3 linked regions of the Struthio camelus genome follow. The protein of the gene in region 2 interacts with the protein of the main gene of each other region in a pairwise test. Links are inferred from orthologs where the notes say so. Each region holds a gene or a part of one and is shown on either strand. Other genes may lie near its edges.

Region 1 (5,952 bases), on a different chromosome or scaffold from region 2:
AAAAAAATAAAAAAATAAAAAAAAGCAGAATTTCAGCTGAAAAACAGCTCTGCTGTTGAAACTTAATGCATACTGGCCTGGAAATTTAATGTGTTCCTGTTCCCAGAATAGTACCCACGAGATCTAAAAACCTGTCATTTCAATAATGCTGACATTAGCATTCGACCAGTCAAAAAAGGACCACTGTGGTCCTTTTACTTTGTTCATCTAAGCCAATTCTGCTAGGTAGTTCATTAAACAGTTTTTCGCAACAGTGTTTTTAGATACTGTGTCCTAAAAATATAAGATGATGTTCATTTGCTCAAAATGCAGTTTTAAAAAGTGCTGCACAGTATTTTCCTATAAGCATTCTTCAAAAAAGAGGATAATACTTAAATTTCTACTGAAAATGAAAGGCAAAGCGATAACAAACAGGTCACAATCACTAGCCTTCACCATATGAAAGGCAGATCTTGCTAGTGTGTTAGCCACATATAAGGGGTCAAACTCTGTGTAAATTCACATAAAGTTGAGATATGCATCTTTGCTTAATCTCACAAAATTAAACTATGGCTTGAAGTCTTTCCAAATTACACTGTATTTAGTCCTTCTACAAAATTCCCCATCTAAATTTAATCCCGTTTTTGCTGCAGATAGCCCATTTGAGCAATAAGATGGTTTGCTTCCTTCCACGTCAAAGTATAACACACAGTTTATCTTCCTCTCCCCTTGAATCCAATAAGCTTCTTTCAAAACAAAGAATATAAGAAACTCGGCATTGGGAAAGGTTTAAAGCACACTTTAAACAGTATCTTCTGGATGTCAGTGGTTCACAAGTAAACCAGAGACCTCTACTATCTCTAAGAATCTACTTAGTTACTAACCTAGCGAGATCCAAAAGGAAAGTGAACAAAATACTCCATGGAAAGTTGCATTAGTCCACTCAAACGCATTAAGTTTTCTCAAAGAGAAGAATTCTCCCTACGGTTTTCACGGATCTCTGTTTGACTCATTTCTTTCAACTCATCCAACTTTCCAAGGCCAAGTTAAAGTGGTTTATACTGCCAAGCAGTAGTTTCTACTCTGATCACAATAGGGTATATTAATGTTGGCAGCAATATAAAGGAGCCGTATTTTCATACAGATGTACTGTTTATGAACAATAGCGTATTTGTCATGTACTGCTTTTCTTCAGCATTAGCCATGCATGGTTTAGCGAATTTTGTTTTGTTTAAGTACAAGTTCTTCAAGCGTTCTGTTTACTGCAGACATTAAGCAAGAAGGATGAATTCCCACTCGGGTACACCCTAAATAACCCAAAAAGGCTGGTTTAGCAATCGATTGTCAGCATGCTCAACTGTATCAATCATATTACAGTGGAAGCAAGAAACTAAATCAAGAAAAGTAGTAAAAGTTTTAGCCTTAGTTTTGTTTTGCTCTGGAGTGTCATTTTGCATCACTCCTGGAGAGCCCTGGTTAGGATGAAGACAGTCTGTAAAAAAAGCATTAATCTGTCTGAAAGAGTTTTGTATCACAATGCTCAGAAACAGTTTCAAGATGCAGTATTGTCATAGGGGGCAGTGCTCTTCTTGAAGTATCTCTTATTGTGGTGGCGGGGGGGGGGACCGGGATGAAATTGGCTTCTAGGAGTTCTCATACGCAATTAATACATCACAACTGTTGTAAATTCTACTTTCCTGTTCATAACTGACATATGCATTGTAATAAGCTAAAAAACTCCACAGGAAGGCTGTAGAATTGCTGTGTATTTTTTGGACGCTTGGGCATAAGGCATCAGTTCACATGCCCTGATCCAATCCAGTACCTGAATAATAATGGTTACAGTGGCAATTTGAAGGATTAATTACTACAGTATTTCGTGTTTTACAGGGCTCTGTCCACTTTCACAAGCTAGAAGCAGCCAGCAAGCACTACTGTTTGACAGTTACCTGCAGGGGGAGAGTCAGTGGTCTCAACGCAACTTGCAGAGAATTGCTACCACCATTAACGGGCTACTAAAAGAAACTCTTAAACAAATTAAAAAAAAAAAAACTTTCCACCTGATGACACTTCTTTCAAAGCCACAAAAGTGTTTGATAATATTAAATATGAAAACTAAACTCTCTTTCCATCCTTTCTCTCTCTAACCTTCCAGAAAAGGATTGTCAGAAGAACGAGGAAAACCCTCTATTTCCAAAATCCTTACTGTAGCTGTTCTAAAAAAACTCCAGGCTCCAAACAGGTATCCACATTTTCAGAAATAGAGGAAATAGTAAAACGGTCAATATACAGTAAAAAAAATTGTCAATACAGGTTGCTAGATAGCATTAACTGGAAAGGGAGGCACATGCACTCTAAAGCATTTTGTGAGCTAATTTGATTACACTAACTTAAAACATAATGCAAACCACAGCATACAACTCAGTCCTACTTAATTAGATTTCCTAAGACAAGTCAGCCTCAACCATATGGTATTTTCCCCAGAAGTTACAATAAACTGACCTTGATACTAGGAAAACGCATGCTCCTCCGTAAGAGGAATAAATTAAAAGAGCGGAGCCGTGTGATGTTCGCACGGAAAGAAGGCAGAGGCAGCACCACAGAAACGCTATATCGAAACCTTCGGTATTCTCAGAGAAGTTAATCAAGAGTGAAATACTCCATTAGAAAATAATAATAATAATAATAAAGCACTGCAGCGACAGGGCTTGAACAATCAGGCTGATCGCAGGGAGCTACCAAGCTATCTAGGCACCTAGCTGGCAATGAAAATAAGCCTAGCACTTCCCTACGAAGGCATCAAGTCAGTGGGAAGTCGCGACCTGCCTCAGCCCCTCACGCCGCTGTCCCTAAGGGCGGGCGGGGGCCGAGGGCGCCGCCGCCAACGGCCGCCGCCAACGGCCGCGGGACACGGCGCCCGCAGCCCGCCCGGCGCCGCTCCCGCCCGCCGCACACACGCTCCTCCCGCCGCCCCGGAGCAGCGGAGCGGGCGCCGGGCTGCCCCGGGCTCGCTCGCCACACGACCGAGCCCAGACCGGCCCCCATCCCCGCCCGCCGCGCTGCGGCGGGGGCCCTGCCGCAGCCACCCCCCCGGCACGGCCCCGCCGCGGGTGACTCTCCCCCCCGCCGCGTCCCAGCCGGCGGCGGCCGCGCCCCCCGGGCCGTACTCACCCGCGGCCGAAGGCGAGGGCTGCACCAAAACGGAAGGAGGGCAGCAACTCCCCCGCGCTGGGCAGACGGGCAGAGCCACCGCCGGCGGCTGCGGCCGAGCCCGCCCGCCGCTCATTCAGGGCACGGGGGCTGCAGCCGGCCGGCCCGCCCCAAACCGCGCTGCGCCGCGCCGGCCCCTGCCCGCGGCCGGCCACCTGCGCCGAGCTGGCGGCACAGCAGGTGCCTCGCTCCCGCTCCGCGACAGCCCAGAGCCGAGTCTTGTCTCGTCTTGTCACGTCCTGCCTGCTCCGCTCCGCTCCGCTCCGCGCCTCTCCTCCCCGCCGGACGCGCCACCGGGCTGCTGCGGCGGTGGCGGCGGCGCCAGCTCCCGCCGCGCCCCCAGCCGCGCACCGGCACCTGGCCGGGCGCCGCCGGCCAATCGGCGCGGAGGGGCGGGGCCAAGGGCGGCCGAGCGGGGAGCAGGGGCGGTGCGGGGCGGTGCGGTGCGCGAGGGCAGCCTTGCCCGCCCGCCCGCTCGCGGTGGAGGGGGGTGGGCAGCGCCGAGCCGCGCCGCTGCCCCAGTCGGTCGGGAGCGGGGACGAGTGCTGACGCAGCGAGCCTGCTGCCACGGACCGGAGAGGAGGGTCGGACCCGGCTCGGCCCGGCCCGGCCCCGGGAGCCCCTTGGATGCGGGTGCGGCTTCGGTGGAGAGCTGCGTCACGGCCGCGGCCCCGCGTGCCGGGCGGCCGTTGGGGCTGAGGCGGCCGTTGGCCGTTAGCGCAACGAAGCCGGCCGGGGAGAACACCCGGAAAGCGGGTTTTTGGGTTTTTTTTTGTCCTCCCCCCTTCCTCTTCCATTTCATTTTTCTAGCTAGTGGTATGAAGAGGAGCCCAAATGTTTATCACGGTGTCAGTCCTCTCCCTGGTGGCACTGCCGTGGCGAGTCAACTGGAACAGGGCTCTGCCTGTTAAACTAACAGTAGCCCGGAGGAAAGGATCGTTGCAGGTTCAGGGGAGGCTGCAGGAGGGAGAAAAGACTCTTCAACATGGCCTGGCCATGCCCATTTTAGTCACCTGGATGATGTAGGCCGTACGTGCTGCTTATGAAATGGATTTGTGATGGATCCTGCAATCTCAGAATAATGGCAGTAATAAGGGCTAATTTGCTGCATCATTAGACAGGTGTAGATCCAATTACTATGCCTTTACTTGTTTAAATATTTGTAAATCCTTAGTGCTCGTTCCTTAAAAAAGCATTTGGTGTGGCATACCCTCGCCTCTATGTATTGCCCATATAAAAACAGTAACGAGAATCCCTCCAACTCTGGAGGGTGCCCGCGGGTCAGCAGTGGCAATGGCCCTGCTATGGCTTAGCATGGCATCTTAAAGGATACCTAATTATGTCACAAACATACATTCAAAATCTTTACAAAGCAGCATTGGCAGCTCGTCCTTGAAGAAGATGCTCGTTCTCCAGATAAAGCAGAGAAACAAATAGATGCTGCCAGGCATACTTGTTTGAGTCTTACAGTGGATACCGTATGCAGGCCATGTGTGGAGGTGTCTCCTAAAGGAAAAGGAGACCAGTTGGTACAAACTGACAAGAATTAGTGCCATATGGATTCAGAGCACTGGATAATCATAATGAAGGTGTGGCCTGGTCATTCATTCACATGATCAGTGAGTCACCGCTGTAATTTCACCATGCTTTTTATACATCCTGTATCACTGCAGATTGTACTGTATCAGACTAATTACTTTTCCTACGGTGTTATTTTTCATCCCTGTTTTTCATGCTTGTTTAACTTTATTTTAAAATAGCTGCAGCTGTTCACTGCAAGGTACATTTTTATTTGATCTTAGTTGAAGTGCTTTGTCAAGGCAGATGTATTCAGTAAATCTTGGCAGGTTTTCAAGGAAAATATTTTCTAGGAGAATATTTTTGTTTACATTAATTTTATGGTATTACAAATAAAGTAGTTTATCAAACATTTAGTTCTATGCTAATCTACACTTGTCTGTGTTACTAAAATGGGTACCAATCTGTGAGGTAGACACCAAATTTATTTCAAAGGTGTGTGTAAAAAAAAGATTTACCAAATATTCTTCATCAAATTGTTTGTATTTCCCAAACGTACACTTACCCACATACATACTTGGGTATTTCCTAAATAGAAACACTTGTTACTTCTTTAAATAAAAATTACAGAAAGAACCAATCATCTTCAACAGTAGCATTTTTCAAGTGCAACATGACATGGCAACAAATCATCCACTAACTAAAACTAAAGGTCACTCATTGCCTCTATTAGAAGAGTAATCAATAACATGCCCCCAGCATTTTTAATGACTGAAAAAATACCTGAGCAGAAATCAATCTTCAATCTTCTAGCTGAATTACTGAAAGAAGAATATGTTTTAAAATCAGGCATCATTATGAATTAAATATAATGTTTATGATTACACAACCATCAGATCAAACAGGTAGAATTGTGCCATCACTCCTCATACACAAGTTAATAAGCTAATTTCAGGCTGAATTCAGGAATAATTTTTCACCTTTGCTTGAATATTCTGCAGCTAGGTAAATGGATATTTTTTCCTTTTTTTTTTACATGATATTTCATGTTCAGCTCCGTGGGAGATGAAATGTTGGACTATAGGCTCCTTTGTTCCATGCCAGTATAGTAATTGGTATGTTTTTACTATGCAACATTACTCCATGGGGAAGGTATTAACTTATACCACACTTAAACAGCCGTTAGCAAATGAAAGAGTACAACTAGGAGAGGGAAAAGAGAAACAACAAAGCACAAGTGAGGAA
Region 2 (5,952 bases):
GCCCGCGCCGTGCCCGGGCCGCGGTCCCTGCTGCCGGGGGCGGGAGCCGCGCGGAGCCGGCGGCGCGCGGTGGCCGGTGGCCCGCTGGACGGACGGCAAGCTGGAAGAGCCTAGTTATCGTTACTGCAGCCGTTACCGCGCAGCCGAAGCTTTGCAGCGCGGTGGAGGAAGAGGGAGCGATGACCCCTCGCCCCGCCGGCGCCGCGCGCCGCTCGTGGTGCCGCATGTGACCCCGCTCGCCCGGCCCGCCGCCCCTGCGAGCCGTCTGATGTTGCTGCGGCTTTTCGTTTCGGAGCTCGCAGACACCCCGGGTCGCCACGTGGGGAATAAAGGTCCCTTTGAGAGCGAGGCGCCGCTGTGCCCGCCGCCCCGCGGGGAGCCGGCGGAGGGGAGATGGAGCCCGGGCAGCTCCTGAGGCCGCAGCACTCCCCACGGGCTGGCAGGGTCCCCAAGGGGCTGTGCAGGGTCCTCACGGGGCTGTGTGGGGTCCCCAAGGGGCTGTGCAGGGTCCCTAAGGGGCTGACAGGGTCCCCATTGGGCTGTGCAAGGTCCCCAAGGGGCTGTGCAGGGTCCCCAGAGGGCTGGCAGGGTCCCCATAGGGCTGTGCAGGGTTCCCAGAGGGCTGTGCAAGGTCTCCATGGGGCTGACAGGGTCCCCATAGGGCTGGCAGGGTTCCCAGAGGGCTGGCAGGGACCCCATGGGGCTGGCCAGGTCCCTACTGGGCTGTGCAGGGTCCCCATGGGGGTGGCCGGGTCCCCAGAGGGCTGGCAGGGTCCCCAGGGGGCTGTCAGGGTCCCCAGAGGGCTGGCAGGGTCCCTACAGGGCTGGCAGGGTCCTCACGGGGCTGGCAGGGTCCCCACGGGGCTGTGCAGGGTCCCCATCGGGCTGGCAGCATCCCCACGGGGCTGTGCAGGGTCCCCAAGGGGCTGTGCAGGGTCCCTACAGGGCTGGCAGTGTCCCCACGGGTCTGTGCAGGGTCCCCATCGGGCTGTGCAAGGACCCCATGGGGCAAGCAGGGTCCCCATGGGGCTGTGTGGGGTCCCCAGGGGCTGTGCAGGGTCCCCAGGGGGCTGGCAGGGTCCCCACGGGGCTGTGCGGGGTCCCCATCGGGCTGTACAGGGTCCCCATGGGGTAAGCAGGGTCCCCAAGGGGCTGTGCAGGGTCCTAAGGGAGCTGGCAGGGTCCCCAAAAGGCTGGCAGGGTCCCCATGGGGCTGTGTGGGGTCCCCAGGGGCTGTGCAGGGTCCTCATAGGGCTGGCAGGGTCCCCAGGGGCTGTGCAGGTTCCCCAGGGGGCTGGCCAGGTCCCCAGGGGGCTGACAGGGTCCTCACGGGGCTGTGCAGGGTCCCCAGAGGGCTGTGCAGGGTCCCCAGGGGGCTGGCAGGGTCCCCATGGGGCTGTGCAGGGTCCCCAGAGGGCTGGCCGGGTCCCCAGGGGGCTGGCAGGGTCCTCACGGGGCTGTGCAGGGTCCCCAGAGGGCTGTGCAGGGTCCCCAGGGGGCTGGCAGGGTCCCCATGGGGCTGTGCAGGGTCCCCAGAGGGCTGGCCGGGTCCCCAGGGGGCTGTGCAGGGTCCCCAGAGGGCTGGCAGGGTCCCCAGGGGGATGGCCGGGTCCCCAGGGGGCTGTGCAGGGTCCCCAGAGGGCTGGCAGGGTCCCCATGGGGCTGGCAGGGTCCCCAGGGGGCTGGCAGGGTCCCCATAGGGCTGTCAGGGTCCCCAGGGGGATGGCCGGGTCCCCAGGGGGCTGTGCAGGTTCCCCAGGGGGCTGGCAGGGTCCCCAGGGGGATGGCCGGGTCCCCATGGGGCTGTGCAGGGTCCCCATAGGGCTGGCAGGGTCCCCATGGGGCTGTGCAGGGTCCCCATAGGGCTGTCAGGGTCCCCAGGGGGATGGCCGGGTCCCCAGGGGGCTGTGCAGGTTCCCCAGGGGGCTGTCAGGGTCCCCAGGGGGATGGCCGGGTCCCCATGGGGCTGTGCAGGGTCCCCATAGGGCTGGCAGGGTCCCCATGGGGCTGTGCAGGGTCCCCAGGGCAGCTGCTGCTTGCAGGGGGTCCCGCATCCCCACACCCCCAGCAGCTCCTCTCCCGCAGGATTTTTGGCGCATCCCGGGAGACCGGCCGGGGGGCGGCGGGACGTCGCGGGCGGCCGCGTGGCCCCGGGCCGCCTCGTGCCGAGGCGCGAGCGGCGGCCGGGCTGCAGGCCTGCGGCCGGGCGGCACGGCGCGCCGGAGGAAGCGTGCAGCGCATGACGCTTTCCTGCTGCCCTGCGAGGGACCATTTCCGTCCTCGCCGGCTGAGCTGCAGCGGCGGCGGCCGGAGGTGCAGCCCGAGCGCTCTGCCTGCCTCCCGCCCGCGCCGGGCCCCGGCGGTGAGTGCGTGCTGCGAGGGGGCGGCCGTGGCCGGCGGGGGCCGCGGCGGCCGGCGGCGGGTCGGCGCGTGGGCTGGGCACGGCAGCCGGGTGCCACGTTCGGCTCCCTCTGATGGAGGCTGCTCCTTTCGCTCGCTGACGGCTGCAGCCTTGCAAAGATCAGCGAGAAACCCCCCCCCCCCCATCACCGCAGCCGCCGTGTCCCCGCGCGGCGCGGACACCCGAGCCCCCCGCGCTTGCCGGGCTGCGTGCCCGTGTGCGCGCACACGCGCTCGCTCCGCTCTCCCTGGCGGGCGGCAGCGGGCAGCGCGGGGCGGGCGGCGGGGTCGTCCCCGCCGGCCCAGCCTGGGGCCGCGAATTCTGCGGTCTCACAGTCCTGATCGCAGCTGTGCCGCCGTCCTCCCCTTCCCTGGCTGCGCTACTGCGTGCGCTAGAGCCCTCTCCCTGCTGCGGGTTTTTTTCTTTTTCCTCCCTTGCGTTTTCTTCCTCCGGTGGCAGAGCTGAGCGCACCCAGGCGCCGCCGTGGCTGCGGGCAGAGGCACTGACGGCTGCTCCTTCCCCCCGGCCCCTAGCCGGGACGGCGGGAGGGGGCCTGGGGGCTCTGCAGCCACCCCGAAAGGCAGGACAGGCCGTCTCCAAAGAGGGACATGGTTTTTAATCCTGCGACGTGCAGTTTCTGGAAGGCTTTTCTCCTCCACCAGACCTGGGGGGAGGAGGATCCCTGCATGCTCCGAGATGGGGCCCCACCGGGTCAGCTGGGTCCCGGTGGATCTGGCACATCCCATGGCCAAAATCCACCGAGGGGTGCCCGACACTGCTGCCCAGCCCTGGGAACACCCCAGGTCAAAGCAGACTGTGCTCGGGTCCCTGATTTACCAAGCAATGCCAATGCTTCACAGCAGATTTTATTGCTGTTGGAGAAGCAGCTCCTTCCAAACAAGCCTCTATAGGTGCAGAAATAATTGCATGCAACACAAGCCGCTGCTGGAGGAGAGCGTGTCGGCGGCGTGCCTGCTCCCTGCAATGCCCCGTAACGATCACAAAAAGGAAGCCGTAAAAGCTTGGTTTCGGGCTAGAGTTCACAGGGAGCAGAGAAATGGTGGCGGGTGACTGCCCCCAAGGCCGGGCTCCTCGCTTCCGCGTCGCATGAGAATTTGCCCTGGGAAGACTTGGGGTTTCTAGCCTGGGGGCACGCTGAGAGCAGCAGCAGGGAGAGGGAAAAGCCCTTCTGCCTCGAGCAGGTGGGTTCATCAGGGTTAAAGAAAGGCAAATAAAGTAAGAGACTATTTTCTCTTGCCATAGCTCAACAGCCAGCTCTGGTCACGCCGGCCGGCGAACCCGCGTGCCGCCGCACGGCCTTGGAGGCCTGGCTGCCCCAGCTGGGGGAAGAGCTCCCTCCGCGGCCATCACATCTCGGGGTCTCTTTTGCAGGCAGGAGGCCAGGAAGATGTTTGCTGTTTGCCAGCCCGACCTCGCCTCGAACGCCCCCTTCCACGAGGGCCAGCGAGACCCCACGCTGGGCACAGCCTTCCTGGGGGACGGGGAGCGCAGGCAAGACACCAATTTCAACTTCGTGGGGGGGGTGTACGACCGCAACGAGAACTGGAGCCAGCCAGCGCCGGGGACCAGAACGGACGAAGGCTCCAGCCAGAGCGAAAACATGACAAATCCATCGGATAATCTGCTGTTATTAATGCAGAGACAGATGGTTCAGGGCAGGCTTAGGGATGCCGCCCAGAGCCTGAAAGGAGACCAAGTGTGTCTGGGCGCGGGTGTGCGGAGCCCCCCCGAGGGAGCGGAGGTCGGCGGGCCGGGGGACGAGAAAGCGGCCACGGAGGACACAGCCAAGGAGTGCAGGAAGCCCCTGAGCTCCCCCGCGGAGGACAACGGCTACGCCAGCAGCTCCCTCAGCATCGACAGCCCCGACAGCGTCTCCGGGAGCACCTGGGAGCCTCCCGCCGCTGCCCACATCCAGAAGAGCCCGTCAGAGCCTGGGGTGGCCGACGCCGAGACGGAGACCTGCCCTAACCCAGACACCCTCTTCCCAGCGCTGGCGGAGGCCTTCCAGCACATCCAGGACAAGGAGAAGTTCAAGGAGCGCGAGAAGGAGAAGCACCACATCCAGCTGGTGATGTATCGGCGCTTGGCACTGCTGCGCTGGATCCACGGCCTCCAGCAGAAGGTCGTGGACCAGCAGAACCGGCTGCAGGAGAGCTTCGACACCATCCTGGACAACCGCAAGGAGCTCATCCGCTACATCCAGCAAGGCCTGGCGTGCCCCGGCGACGCGGGCTGCCCCGGGCTGTGAGCCCCGCAGCCCCGCGCCATCTCTTCTGGGATTCACACCGCTCCCCTCTCCCCGGCCGCAAGGAGCGTCTCCTGGTGCTTGCCCTCCGCGATGGGGCCCGGGGCCAGGTTTTGCTTGGGAGGCTTTATAAAGATGCGAGCTGTGGGCTCCTGTGGCCTCTCCCTGTCCCGGTTTCCATGAAGCATGAAGACACTGCACAGCAGATGCCACCCAGCGTTTCCATGGGCCCTGGCAGCACATGGTCCTTCCGACGTTACAGGACCCTTTTTAATGACTTTTCATCTCAACTTCTCCAACACTTCCTTTTCCACCCAGCTGCTGACGGGCAAGTACCAGCTGTTTGGCTGCTGCACCGACCAGCTGCAGCTCGGGGTCCTCCGCCCTGTGTGCCGCTAGGTCTAGGGGCTTGTGCAACACTGCGCTGGGGACCTCGATGCACCCGGATTTGCTGACTCTGCGATGCTGAGACTCATCTTTTAAATCTAAATTAGCGTTCTTTGTTTGAGCATTTAAAATAGGAGTTCATTTCATCCCTTTGCTGTAGCTCTGCCACCTCAGGAAGGGTTGTCTAGGAAGACCCATCCCCAGGCTGGAGCCTGGGCAAGGAAGTCCTGGGATGGCCCCAGCTGCTCCTGGGCAGCAGCTGGACGTGGCCAGGGCACTGCCAAGGCCACCAAGTTAATTAGGGCACTTTGAAAAAATTCCTTCTTCTCCCACTTGTCTCTTCCCTCCTGCTAGTACCAGTAACCCTCCCCCAAACACCTGATAAAGGAGGGAGAGAACGTCTGGGAGAATCCACGCGAAGCTGAACCCCTTCCCTGGTCCAAATCTTCCTGGGCCCGAGCAGGGGGCCAGCGCCTTGCGAGGGGGCTCCTCCGGCGGCGGCTCGCGCGGCTGCTGTCCGTTCCTGCGCGTGATCCCGGCCACGGAAAGCCTGCACCCCGAGCCCGCGCTCGTCTCGCGCCTCGCGCCGGGGCTTCGCGCGAAGCAGACTGACCGTGCCGGCGAGCCCCGCGCGTGCGGCTGAGCGGCAGATGCTCCGGACCGCGGTCTGCAGCCCCCTGCAACGCGCTCCGAGTGCAGAGGTCCGTCTGGCAACAAGGGCCTTGATTCAGCAAAGCTTTTAAACTTACACTTGAGTTCTCGCCTGCTTGGCAAAGCGTTTCAGCACGTGCTCAAACGCAAGGGGAAGAAGCTCCGGTCGCTCCACGACCCACACAATATATGTATGTTTGTATGTGAACGTACATATAACAACCTTTGTATATATAGCAACTTTTGA
Region 3 (5,952 bases), on a different chromosome or scaffold from region 2:
CAGTGAGATGACAACAAAGACAAACCATTTGAGCTTCAATTACTTAGGAATTGCACTTTGGATGTGGAAGTAGTTTTGTTTAAATTTAAACACTATTTCTCCCCTTCCTCAGCAGACTCACACAGCATAAGAACTTTCATCAATAACTAGCTCCATTAGGCTGCCAGAGAGAGACACTATAGGAAGTTATTTGCCTTGATATTTTATCATTTTGAAAAGCAATTGCAAATGTGTTTTTGAATCTCTGGTATCAAATCAAGGATCTTTTAAGATCAAAGAGTGTTTTTATTCAAGAATAAATTCAAAAGTATGCGCTACAGGCTCAGACTTATCCAAGCACGAGCACTGCTCTCTGTTCCAACGTACAGCCTCAGGAACACCTCATCAGACCTATCACATGCCCAAACATAGGAGTAAGTGTCCTTATATTCTCAGGAAAATATTTTGTTTGTTCTGCTGAAGGAAAACAGAGAATTTGAACTATAAGATACCGAAAGAGATGAAGCTTAAAATTATGCCTTCTCAGTACTAGCAGTTCTTGCAGGTAAGGAATGTTTCATACAAGCTCAGATGCACCACATCAGTACGCTCAAGAGAAGTCAAGGATATCTGGACACATATACTAAACACACACACACTCTTGACACCCACACTGCCCAAATAGTTTGTTTCTAAAAGGAGGAGAAAAGGTCCATCTTTCCTGCAAAAGACATGATCCACTGACAGGAGTCAACACCATGGGAAAAAAACGCATAAGCGCCACAATGTTAAGTTTTGATAATTGTGGGCCTTCACCAGAAATTCTTCTGATAGTTAGAACTTCTTTTTTTCTAATGCTTTCAAGCATAACCGGCTCCACCTCTGCCACTTCCTTGTTGCCTCTCAACTCCTCCTACAGTCCTCACAACTCCATTGTGCATGCATCATCTAAATATACTTGGTTAGCTTTGCTATATTGTTCTATTGCACTGTTTTTCAGTTTAGCTTTATATATGAAAATCAGTCTGGAGAATCTGAGTACCGCAGAACATTCACATGAGTCTTGTGAACACGTTTTCCTTCTTTGCATAGAATCAGTAGCAGCTCAAAATTCAAAAGTGAAGATCACAGTTTCTCCTCAAAAAGAGAAAGAAAAGCCACCTCTAACACCAGTACTACATCTCAATACACCTCTTATTGAGCAAAGTTCCTCATACTTCAGAATTTCTGTTATACGGGAGAATATGCTACAATCACGACGTATCAGAAGTGCAGTTGCAGTTACCTCTCCCTACAGTAAAGGGGTCAATTAAAGATGGATTAAGAAGTCACCGCTGTTAAAGACACACTTACTTGTGCATTGAAATAAATAAATAAAATATTGCTGCCTTCTCAGAGAACTGAGAAACGATCCTTTCCTGCTGTTGCTACTCTCTATTCAGAGAGTACCTCACTTCATACACATTTTTCTTTGCTTCCATTTCTCAAAGTCAGGGATGAGTCTATTAAAACCTAACTAGAGAATCACTTTCACGCCCCCAGTGGCTCTGCAGCTGCAGAAAACTTCATTAGATATTGTGGTTCCTATTTAATAGACAGTTTTGGTAAGAAGTAGCTTATCTAAGGTGCTGCAATTACTATAAATGGGCCACATTAAACGGTCAATTAACCAACAAGCCATTCTTAAATTCTGTGTGTTTGCAATATATCACTTGTACTTTTATAGAAAAGTAAAAAACACAGACTACCTCTAAGCTGGTTCTTGCTGACTGCACCAGAAAATGGATTATTTTGTAAGCAAGGTTCTATGAAGTGTCAAATTCCCACAGATTTTAAGGTAGATAGAAGAGATATTGCCCTGTAAACTACAAGCACCATGTTTCTGTAAGATCATTAAAGACCAAAAAAAAAAAAAAAAAAGCTCTCACAAAGCTTACAAAGCTTTGTATAACAGGGGCCTTACCTACCGTAAGTATTCATTCAACTGGAGTGCAAAAGCATTAGAAAAATACACAGTTACATAAAGAGAGATAGAGAGATAACGTTAGATGCAAAGCATTGCACTACAACAGCAACGTTTAATGAAGAGAAAGTCACAAAACAGCAGGGGAGACCTTAGACAGTTTGAAGTCATGACAAACAATTTTCAAACAGTTTAAAATGAGGCAGAAAGAAAGAGCTTGGACTTGATGAGAAGGATAAACGCATGCAGTGTTTTGGACTGTTTTATCCTTACTAGGAAGTTATGCCACTACCACTTAGGAAGGGAAAGGGGAAACAGATATTAGTGGAATATAGCCAGAAACAGCATAAAGAAGACGACACTTAATCCCACTAGCAGCACAGCTGATCAAAAGCAACGTTAATATTAAAGATCAGAAGAAACTCTTTACGAATATTCACATAAACTAGCTACCTGACGACGACAGCCAACCACATATCTTGGTCCATTTGTAGCCTTCACAATGACTAGAGAGAGAAGATTTAAAAAAAAAAAGTTTAGTCACTGCTTTCAATTACACTTCTAAAGTATATTATGTTTTTCTGCCAACATACAGATCACTGGCACTTTTAATTCCTCATTCTTTGAGCTCTTTAGCCAAGTTTTAACTGCAAAAGCTTATTTTCAAGATTTCAAAGAATATAACTGTCCAACGTACTTACATTTCTCTTCTGTTAGCTGTTTAAGAACCTCACCAACAATCTGCAAAAGAATAAATGAAGTATTAGCACACAGGTAAGTGACAGTCGCAAAAGAATGTTTAACATATGCCACAATCTCAATGCTGATAGTTATATTCCATATCCTTTCCCCTGCTTCAAGTTGCCTACCTGGACTTTCATTTCTTTAACGTATCTCTGCTAAACAAGACACAGAGAGAAAACCTCTCCACCTATGATTGTCCCTGATGATAAGACACCTGTTTCTGTTAGCTACGCTGTTGCCACTTATTCTTTCCGTTGCCACAAACGGCCTTAAGAACTGCTGTTTCCAGGCGAGTTCCCTGTCACCACCACCACACGTAGCTACGGCCTTGTTTCTCTTACATACCTGCCCGACGCTCTGCAAGGCCTTGAGATCGTTTTCTGACTTTTCATATTGCTTGGTGAGCTCTTTCAGCTGTTCCCTCACTTAAAAAAAAAAAAAAGAGAGAGAGAGAGAGAGAGAGAAGCACATGATTTTGCTGACTTTCAATCCAGCAGGAGCGGTCCCGTTGACAGCGGCAGAAGCGCGGCGGGCAGAGCCAGGCTGGGGGCTACCCGCACCCCCCACAAGCCCCCGCTCGGGGACTCCCCTTACTGAAAAAGGCCCTGCAGAAGAGGGCTAAAAATCCCTTTCGGGATTTAAAACGCCCAAAAGCAAAGGGCTCGGTGCCTCTAGGGGACGTTGCCCCCCCCCAGCGCTGCCCCGGGCCAGGCCCATGACGAAGCGCGGGCAGCGGCGCGGACCCCTGAGGCGCCGGGCGGCGGCGAGTCTCTGGGCGGCCCCCGCGGCGGCGGCAGCGGCGGCGGCGCTCACACTCCTTGAGGCGGCCGTCGATCTCCTTGTGCTCCAGGAGCTTCTTGCGGTAGTCCTGCAGCGCCTTGTCTCTCGGGTCCGCCATGATGAGCAGCCGCCGCTCATAGGGAATGCCGGGAAGGGCCATGGCCGCCGGGGGCAGGGCCGCGCGCCCGCCCCGCCCCGCCCCGCCCCCGCGCCTCGCGCGCGCGCGCCCGTGACCGCCCTCCCCCCCCCCTCACCTCACCCACCCCCTCCCACGCGGCCTCCGCGCGCCGCAGCGGCCCCTGTCGCCGCGGAGGGGGAAGCGGCGGCCGGCTCCTGCGCATGCGCATAAGGAGGGGGGGAAGGGCGGACGGTCGGTCCTGGCGCATGCGCGCGGCAACGGGCGGCGCTGCGCGTGCGCCGCGCGGGGCGCGCGGCCGTCGTCAGGCGGGCGGAGCCCGCGCTTGCGTGTGGTGTTGGGCGGCCGCCGCGCTCCGCCGGGCCGAACCCACGCGGAACCCACGCGGAACCCACGCAGCCTCGCTCTTCTGGCATCGCCGGCAGGACGGGGCTGCGGCAGGGCGCCGCGAAAAGCGGGCAGCGGCGGGGAAGCCGCCCCAGGGTGGCGGCGGAGGGTGGGGGGTGGGGTGGAGGCCTCAGCGGCCGCCTCCTGCCGCTGCTCCCGCCCTGCGTGGGTAGCTCCGGTCCGGGCAGCGCTCGCGTTGAACCTCCCTCCCCAGCCCCGGCAGCGCCCCGGTGCCTGCCCTGAGTTACGCCCGGGGCTAAATCTGCTAGGACGGCCCCAGACAATCGCTCTCCGCGGTCATCGTTCTAGTATTCCTGAGGAAAGGCAGTTTCCTCCAATGTCCTGGGCTGTTGGGGATCTCTGATGCGGTCAGGGGAAAAGTGGGGGCTGTGTTATCCACAATCAGACTGTAAATTCACTCAGTTGAATTAGCAGTGTTTTCTTTTTAACGCCGACCAGCATGAGTTTACAGATGAAGGCCTTGCTGAGTTGCTTACAGGAATACTGCACGGTGCGGATAACAGGAAGCAGTGAGCAACTGGGGCTAGTGAAAACCAGAGCATCCTAAAACGTTTCTTGCGCAGGGAAAATAGGGATAAAAAACACCATGCGTTTTGTGAGGAAACTGGTCAACTCATTGGGGAAAAAAGGAAACTGCCGTCGGCCAGAGCTGCGGGGCTCCTTCTCCCTCTGTCTCCACGTTAAATACCCTCATCTTCCCGCAGTTCTTTCAGGATTGCTCCAGAGTCCATTCAGGCAGCGAAGGACTGGGAGGAAGGGATGCACCATTAGCAGTATCTCCCCTAACCCTGGAGCAGGTCCACCACCCCTTGCTTGATGCCCTACAGAAAACAGACTGTGGCCACTGAAACAAAAGGACCAAGTCTGGCTTAAATCTTTCCTCTGGGGGTGGGGAAATACACATAAATAGAGAGGGCTCTGCTTTGTGCGGTGATGATAGGAGGCAGAACTTGGCCAGGGAGAGCCCTTGAAGGCGGCTGTTTAGAGCACGGGGTCTTACATGCCCGTGCCCGATCTTCTGTCTCGCGGAGCAGGCAAGGGGACAGTTGCAAGACCTAAACCGCAGGAACTGAGCCCCTGAAGTGGTTCCTGTAGTCTGAGCGCAGGATGAAGAGCCAGCCACACGCTCTGAGATACGTGGCAACGGATCGTCATCTCGGCCAAGCAAAACAGGCCCCCTGTGCGCGCCTGAAGGGGAGCGCGGATCCGAAAGCAGGCACCGAGCTCCAGACCTGCAGCCCGAGAGGGCGCCTGACTCCCGCTGCCCGGCAAACCTGTACGGATCGGGGCTACCGGCCCGCCTTTCACGGAGCCGATCCCGTTTGCGGGCGCTGAGTCAGGACGGGGCCACCTGAGGCCGGTACACGTGAGCCACGTCCTGCGCCGACCGGCGCTGCCCTCGCCTCTCGTCCCGGCGGTGGAGGGCTGCGCGGCTCCCCGCGCCCCTCCTCGCCGGCCGGGCTGCGTGCGGCGCGGCGCGTAGCCGCCGGCGGCCGCGCCCCCGGCCAGGGGCGGGCCGAGCCGCCGCTTCTTCTGCCGGCGGCGGCGGCGGCGGAGGGCGGGTTGCCGTGCGCGGCGAGATGGCGGCGGGTCGAGGGCTGCGGGCGCCGGGTTTCGCCGCCTTCCTGCTGCTCCTGCTGTTGCAGTCGCCCCCCGCGCTGCCCCGCGGGGCGGCCGAGCGCCGCTGCTTCTGCCAGGTGGGACGGCACCGGGCGGCGGGAGGGGTGGGCAGCCCCCCCCGCCCTGCTCCTCGGCTCCCTGCTAGCCGCGTCCGCCGGCGGAGATGGGTGTTTGGGCAGCTGGTTTGGAACCAGGTGTCCCCAACCAGGAGATGGGGGTCAAGGAGCTGGGCGCAGGGAATGGTTGCTGCGCGGGTTCCTCTTGGCTTGACTTCGCACGAGCAGGCGTGCGCGATCAAGGAATGAAGATGGCACGGTGTGTT

The links.
Region 1: the proteins of C23H1orf216 (region 2) and MYRIP interact in binary tests that used the Homo sapiens proteins (3 or more experiments, as listed by UniProt). The two-hybrid records come from large-scale screens. The link is inferred for Struthio camelus from reciprocal best matches to the Homo sapiens genes C1orf216 and MYRIP.
Region 3: the proteins of C23H1orf216 (region 2) and PSMC6 interact in binary tests that used the Homo sapiens proteins (3 or more experiments, as listed by UniProt). The two-hybrid records come from large-scale screens. The link is inferred for Struthio camelus from reciprocal best matches to the Homo sapiens genes C1orf216 and PSMC6.

The regions. Positions count from the first base shown.
Region 1 is NC_090943.1:52,216,250-52,222,201, forward strand, and holds the start of MYRIP (rab effector MyRIP), read right to left. Parts: upstream 3,458-5,952; 5' UTR 3,151-3,457; intron 1-3,150. UniProt on the Homo sapiens protein: Rab effector protein involved in melanosome transport. Serves as link between melanosome-bound RAB27A and the motor proteins MYO5A and MYO7A. May link RAB27A-containing vesicles to actin filaments. Functions as a protein kinase A-anchoring protein (AKAP).
Region 2 is NC_090964.1:9,982,511-9,988,462, reverse strand, and holds the start of C23H1orf216 (UPF0500 protein C1orf216 homolog), read left to right. Parts: upstream 1-2,251; 5' UTR 2,252-2,362; intron 2,363-3,793; 5' UTR 3,794-3,809; coding exon 3,810-4,670; 3' UTR 4,671-5,952.
Region 3 is NC_090946.1:80,414,400-80,420,351, forward strand, and holds the start of PSMC6 (26S proteasome regulatory subunit 10B), read right to left. Parts: upstream 3,669-5,952; 5' UTR 3,627-3,668; coding exon 3,500-3,626; intron 3,112-3,499; coding exon 3,032-3,111; intron 2,684-3,031; coding exon 2,644-2,683; intron 2,449-2,643; coding exon 2,396-2,448; intron 1-2,395. Other genes in the region: ERO1A (ERO1-like protein alpha), read left to right, coding at 5,591-5,707. UniProt on the Homo sapiens protein: Component of the 26S proteasome, a multiprotein complex involved in the ATP-dependent degradation of ubiquitinated proteins.